2 linked regions of the Mus musculus genome follow. The protein of the gene in region 1 interacts with the protein of each later gene in a biochemical or structural test. Links are inferred from orthologs where the notes say so. Each region holds a gene or a part of one and is shown on either strand. Other genes may lie near its edges.

What was found.
Region 2: the proteins of Tjp2 (region 1) and Ocln form a complex in vitro, tested with the Homo sapiens proteins (3 studies listed by BioGRID). The link is inferred for Mus musculus from reciprocal best matches to the Homo sapiens genes TJP2 and OCLN.

What each region holds. Positions count from the first base shown.
Region 1 is NC_000085.6:24,109,773-24,114,017, forward strand, and holds part of Tjp2 (tight junction protein ZO-2), read right to left. Parts: intron 3,185-4,245; coding exon 2,974-3,184; intron 1,848-2,973; coding exon 1,654-1,847; intron 1,345-1,653; coding exon 1,249-1,344; intron 39-1,248; coding exon 1-38. UniProt on the Homo sapiens protein: Plays a role in tight junctions and adherens junctions. Acts as a positive regulator of RANKL-induced osteoclast differentiation, potentially via mediating downstream transcriptional activity.
Region 2 is NC_000079.6:100,498,096-100,501,197, reverse strand, and holds part of Ocln (occludin), read left to right. Parts: intron 1-2,282; coding exon 2,283-2,384; 3' UTR 2,385-3,102. UniProt on the Homo sapiens protein: May play a role in the formation and regulation of the tight junction (TJ) paracellular permeability barrier.

The DNA.
Region 1 (4,245 bases):
ACTGGATTTCTCAGATCCGGCATCTTTGGGTTCTGTTTCTGCAAATGAAAAACAGGGCTAAGTAATGTTGCTAGAAAGCAGGTGACAACCACATGCCCCAGGCTAACATCAGCACAGTGGGACAAATAACACTGGGCACCAGCTCATGGCACTCGGAGAGATGAAACCATGTGTGCATTCCTCTGTGTGTGTGTGTGTGTGTGTATACACAAGAGTGTTCACATGTGTGTTTAAGTGCTTGTGTGCATGTGTTTTACACATCAAACACCAAGGTTTTACTCATATGAGGCAAATGCCATACCACTGAGCTACAACCTCAGCCCTATTAAGTGGAAACTAATCAGAAGAAATTGTTAGGTCGACCTAACAGCAGGGAGTACCTTGTTGATCTCTTCTGGAAATATAAAAGTCCCTAAAGAGTCATAAATATTAACTGTAATGGATGAGCCTGAACTTAAAAAAAGAAAAGAAAATGTTCGGGACCAGAAACGCTACCAGTTTTTAATTATTTATAATTTAAAATATCTACAAAAAAAGGAGACCCATACCTAAATATAAGATTCATTCATGGTTTAGCTAATCATGGTTGTATATTCCTGTTACATCAGCACTTGTGAGATGATGTCAGAAAGATCAGAAATGCAAAGTCATCCTCGGCTACACAGTAATTTCAGGGCCAGCCTGGGCTTATCTGAGGGACCCTGCTCCCTCCCCACACCTCCCAAAAATATTTCTGTCATCTTTCTCTCATATACACAGACTGAGGTAATTTTACAGAGCATCTTTAGTACACCTGCATTAGACACTTATCACTTGTATGGGAGCAAGCATGAAATTTTCCCTTTGTGCTGTATCATGTTGACGCTCAAAATGTTCCAGTTTTAGAATGTTTCAGATTAGCAACATTCAACTATAACACTAATATGAAATCTCTTTGTTACTGAAGGGACAGTGGTATTTTCAATATGTAAAAGAATATTATATTATGAGGAGACTCACGGGTATACTCTCGAATGAAGTCTCAGAGCTCTGCAATTTAAACTCTGGACTGGCTCAGCAAACAGTTTCAAAAGCTGGGGCTGTGTGTCTGTCTGTGAGCAAGCGGTGGAGAGAAAGTATATCTATCTGACAACATGATACAGTGACTCCAGGCAGGGTGTGTGGATATTCCTTATTCTTCCAACTTCTGTGTGCCAGAGAACTGCCAAATTAAACACTCCGGGAGCAAAATTCTATGAACACTCTTACTTGCAGTTTGAAACAGGTCTGGTAACTCAGTTGCCAACCTTTCCATTGCTATATCTGCTATGGGGCCAAACAGAACCACGGGTCTCTTGAAGCCAGCTGAAAGGAAAAACAGGAAGTTATCAGATGTGCACCTACAGTGTCCAGATGAGAGGCAAATGCCCTGTGTACACTTCTGCAATCTCGGCATTAGAAACTGACCTCTCCCACCTCGCCTGGACTCCACTGCTTTCCCAAAAGACAAGCCTTCGCTGCCCTCCCCACTCAGGTTCCCCGTGGGACATGATCCCCTCAGACACCTCTGGTGTAAGTGACTTAGGTGAAGTTGGAACTGAGTGATTACAGAGACACTGGCGGGAGCGGCTCAGAGCTCAGCAGCTCACTCCCGGGCCCATGCAGCTGCCTCACCTTCCCGAAGCAGAACCTTCTCGTAGGCAGGGAACTTGGTGCTAACCGATACAGCAGCCGCCAGGTCTTCCCGGCTCTTGCGGAGGTTCTTCTTGACGCCGCCGCTGGATCTCTGGCCACGCATCCGCCAGAAGTCTGCTCTGTCCCCGGCGTTCTCTCGCTGGGCATTCTGGACACTGGCCATTTGCTCGGCTCTGAGAGAGGAAGCCGGAAGAAGTCATTCTCCACAGCATGGGAACAGGTTATTACTAAGACGCAGTCACTGTCACGCGAGAACCCAGGGCAGGGCTGGAGGGTTGGCGCAGGGGTTAAGAGCACTGACTGCTCTTCCAGAGGTACTGAGTCAATTCCCAGCAACCATATGGTGACTCACAGCCATCCATACTGTGATCTGATGCCCTCTTCTGGCATACAGGGATATATTCAGATAAGAGTACATATATAGGGGCTGGAGAGATGGCTCAGTGGTTAAGAGCACTGACTGCTCTTCTGAAGGTCCTGAGTTCAAATCCCAGCAACCACATGGTAGCTCACAACCATCCATAAGGAGATCTGATGCCCTCTTCTGGTGTGTCTGAAGACAGCTACAGTGTACTTATATATAATAATAAATAAATCTTAAAAAGAAAAAAAAAGAGTACATATATATAAATAAAAACAAAAACAAAAACAAAAAAACCAGTGCAGACACAGATTGACAATGGGGACAATAAAGGGGACAGTGGAGCCAGAAAACATTGTGTGTGAGCATCACTGTCAACCTGACAGGATTTCTAGAAAGGGAAACCCACCCTGAATAGACGGCATCTTCCCAGGGGCTGAGGTCCACACTGACCACAAGGGAGGAAGCGAGCTGAGGCCCAGCATCCCCATTGGCCCTCCTCAGGTGTCTTATCAAAGGGACAGGGTCTCTGAACTCCACAAGCAGTAACTCCGTACAGAGCGTGCCATGTTTGGCTCATGTGCTGTGTGATATAAATGTATGTAACAAACAGATCACCATTCTTAAGTCCTACAGCCACACCAGCAAGTGTTCCCTAGGGTGTACAAGCCTCTCCTAAAGATGGAGACCAGGAGTGGCAAGGGACTAGGGCCACACAGTGTTTCCCATAACCAAGGCAGCAGGCTCTCCTCAAATAAGCCAAGGGTGGCAACCAAGCCTGCTGTGCTCAAAACTAAAGAGGTGCTGGCTCTATTTCCATAAACACCTAATGGTGGCCAATGATGAGGTCCCGTGGGATTGATTTCCTCAGAGGCAGCTCTGTTGCTTTCTGGTGAACAGGGGATTAAAAGGAATGCTTAGGAAGTCGGCTCAGTTACCTGCTTTTGTTAGGGATCAAGCCTTTCTCCAGCTCATTCCCGATCCTCACGGCCAGCCAGTGGCCCAGCTTGCCATCGTACAGCGTGTCTACCACTCGGAAGACCTCTCCCCTGGTGAAGGCCAGGCTCTGGGGAGTTTCCTTCTCACATTCAAAGTGGCTTCTTATGAAAAACGAATCTCCCCTGCCACAAGCCAGGATATCTCTGTACACTGGAGAATAAAAGTAACGTTGGCTGTGCTCAACTGAAGAGCACCCCTTCAGGGTTCCCCCATTCTAGTGCATTATGGGAATGGTGGAATCACGCTCCACTGGGAGGAAGAAGCACTAACTTCCTGAAGTGCTGCGATGGCGGATTTTATGTGTCAACCTGGCTGTGTATGGGGGAGCCTATACAATCGATTAAACATTAGACTAGGCCTTTCTCAGAGGACATGGCGGGTGTGTGAGAAATGAGATTACCATTCAAACGGAAAGACTGAACAAAGTAAATTGTTCCTCAACGATTAGTTGAAAACTTGAGTAGAATATTCTGTGAAGCCACAGGGAATTACTGTTCCCACCCCAAGGCCTTCCATCTGCCTTCCTCCTGAGTTCTTACTGTCTCTACACCTCCAGTTCTCCTAGTAGTTAGGCCTTCAGGCTAAACCCAAAATTGAGTCTTCCGTTCTGCTAGGTGTGTCCCATGTGGGACTTGTCAACCCGCACATTCTCTTCAACCAAGTCCTTAACAATGTGTCTTTGACTCTTACAGCTTCTGTTTCCATGATGACCTCTGCCTAATACAGTTGCTCATCAAACTTCCCATACAAACAGGAAGGGACTATTTTTGCCCCCCCCCCCCCTTCAGAGGAGAGGACCCAGAAAGGTGAAGCAACTTGTGAGGCTGGTGAGAGGAGCCAATAGCACCCATCATACAGAGACTCTCTAACAACCCCATCAGCACTGAGGGTGCACGCTGCTCAGAGAAGCAGTTTAACTCCAAATGACCCAGAACCAGCAAAGCTATCTCGGTAGTTGGAAGGAAAAAAAAGTTGGGGGGAGGGGGGAGGGTTCTAGACAGGGTTTTTCTGTGTAGCTCTGGCTGTCCTGGAACTCACTCTGTAGACCAGGCTGGCCTCGAACTCAGAAATCTGCCTGCCTCTGCCTCCCAAGTGCTGGGATTAAAGGCGTGTGCCACCACAGCCGGCAGAAAATATTTTCATACAAAATGAACAGTACCTAAATTTTCTCCACACACCACTGACCCAATGTTGTGTATTCTGGTCCCAAG
Region 2 (3,102 bases), on another chromosome or scaffold:
CAAATAATACAGCATCAGTGTGCACACATCTGAGAGGTTTACAGTTTGTAAACTGTAGAATCATTAGGCTCATGCCTGTGTGTGTGTGTGTGTGTGTGTGTGTATGTGTGTATGTGTGTGTGTGGTGTAGGTGTCTGTGGGTGTGTTTGGGTGTGGGTTTCTGTGTGTGTGTGTCTGTGTGTGGGTGTGTCTCTGTGTGTGTATGTCAGTGTGGGTATGGGTGTGTGTCGGTGTGGGTGTATCTGTGTGTGTCTGTCTCTGTGTATGTGTGGCTTCAGTAGATTCTGTCATACAGCCTTCCCAGGAGCTTACACTAGTTCACACCTTCACTGAGAATCTTACTTTGTCCTTGCTAACACTTGATATTACAGGCACTGTTGTCTTGTAACACTTTTTGTTTTCAAAATACTTAATGCTAAAAGTTTTTATTGTAATTACAGAGCATAATGATTTTAACTAAGGTGTGTGTGTGTGTATGTGTGTGTGTTTCCTACTTTATTTTTTGAGATAGGCTCTTCTGTTGAATCTGGAGCTTGCTTTACTATTTTTGCTAGATTGAGTGGCCCAAGATCCTCCTATCTCCTCCCCCCAGTGCTCCTTACCCGACAGTGCTCCTCCCTCCAGGGCTGGAATTACAGGTACAGGCATCACACCTGGCTTCTTATGTGTGTGCTGGATATCGAACCCAGTCCTCCTGCTTTCAGTAATAGGCCCTTTGCATCAAAGCCCCTCCCTAACCCTTTAAATGAGTTTAAAGGAGTATATGGGGCAGAGGACCTGAGTTTGTTGCCCAGGGGAGCCAGCACCCTCTACTTACTTACTGTGTGTATGTATGAAGTTTGCATTTATGTATGTATGTACTTACTGTGTGTATGTATGAAGTTTGCATGTATGTATGTACTTACTGTGTGCATGTATGAAGTCTTCTTACTTACTGTGTGTATGTATGAAGTTTGCATGTATGTATGGATGCGTGGAGGAGCATGTGTACCATGGCACAGGGGTGGACTTCAAAGGACACTTGCAGGAGTCCATTCTCTTTCCACCGTGTGGATTCTGGGGATGGAACCCAGATCTCAGAGCTCTGCAGCTGGCGCATTTATCTCCTGAGCCATCTTACTAGTAGCCCCTGAAATTTTTTTTTTTAAAAGATAATTTATAAACACAAAGGTCAGTGAATTCTCATAGTGACTTAACATATTTTTTAGAAATAAACATATCCTTTGTAAAAAATCAGTTTAAAAGATATTATTGAGGAAAAAGGGCCATCTGCCTATGTGGTCAGTGATAGTGCTCAGTACCTTAAACCATCTGCCTGTGTGGTCAGTGATAGTGCTCAGTACCTTAAACCATCTGCCTGTGTGGTCAGTGATAGTGCTCAGTACCTTAAACCATCTGCCTGTGTGGTCAGTGATAGTGCTCAGTACCTTAAACCATCTGCCTGTGTGGTCAGTGATAGTGCTCAGTACCTTAAAGATACTCATTTAGTACTCATTACTTCTTTATGACTAGTCTTTCCTTTTTTTGTTTTGTTTTGTTTATCCTTGCTTTCTCAGGAGGCCCATTTTTTTAATTTAAATTTTTTTCATATAATTTTGATGTTTTCCCCTCTCTCCAACTCCTCCCAGATCCTCCCTACCTCTGTATTCACTCACCCAACTTGGTGTGTTCTCTTTCTCTAAAACACACTTTAGAAAAAAGGAAGAGGCTGGGGAGATGGCTCAGAGGTTAAGAACACTGGCTGCTCTTCCAGTAAGTCTGGAGTTCAATTCCCAGCAACCACATGATGGCTCAAAAACATCTGTAATAGAAACCGATGCCCTCTTCTGGTGTGTCTGAAGAGAGCTACCGTGTACTTATATACATAAAATAAATAAATCATTCCTTTTTTTTTTTTAAAGGAAAATCAGAAACAAAAACCCAGTATGTTAAAACAAAACAAAACAAAACAAAACACCCAAACAAAAAGCCCACAAACAATACAAAACAAAAAACCATGGAGTTTTGCATTGGGTTCTGCCATGAGTGTAGTTAATATATCCAGTGACACTTCTAGAGTTTTATTTCATTTTTAAATTTTTTTGTTTTTTCGAGACAGGGTTTCTCTGTAAAGACCTGGTTGTCCTGGAACTCACTCTGTAGACCAGGCTGGCATCGAACTCAGAAATCCACCTGCCTCTGCCTCCCGAGTGCTGGGATTAAAGGCGTGTGCCACCACTGCCCAGCTAGAGTCTCATTCTTTAGTGTGTTGGCATTTATGTGATTTACTCTCTCTGTCTCAGTCTGCAGATTATAAAAGTAAGAGGAATTACTGCAAGCAGTTGAAGAGCAAATTATCGCACATCAAGAGGATGGTGGGAGATTATGACAGACGGAAACCTTAGAGAGATGCCAGTTGCGGGAGAAGGGAGAGGTGCATCTGCCTGCACGATGTCTCTGCAATTCTCTCCAGAGGCAAACTGACTTTGGACTCTAATCTGGGAAGTTAAAACTTTGTGATCATTACAAAGTTTCCGTGGCTTTAATTCCATCAGTTTCCTATCTCCAGTATTGAAGCATTTTATAAATGGCTTTTGATAATTGACTGGGCTGAACACTCCAATTAAGGATTTTACAGTTTCAACATTGATTCTTGTATTAAGAATTAAAATGTTGCTTGATATTTTAAATGTCAAGAAAGGTCCTGGTGTGAGCTGTGATGTGTGTTGAGCTTTGATGTGAAGGTTCACACGCCAGGCAGTGTGTTCCTCCAGGTAGACCGTCTAATCAATCTTTGCAGCAGCCCTCAGGTGACTGTTATTTAGAATCAGGTTGTTTTTGGTTTTCCAGACAGGGTTTCTCTGTGTAGCCCTGGCTGACCTAGAACTTACGCTGTAGACCAGGCTGGCCTTGAACTCACACAGCTTCTCTGAGTGCTGGTTCAGGAGTTAACGTCGTGGACCGGTATCATCACTTTTCCTGCGGTGACTTCTCCAAACTGAAACTGCTAAGGCAGTTTTGGCTAAGTCTGTTTTATGACTGCAAATGACAGCATTCCTGCCTTTGTATTTCAGGGGAAATACGATACATTATATCGGCCACGTTCCCCACCACTGTTTTTCT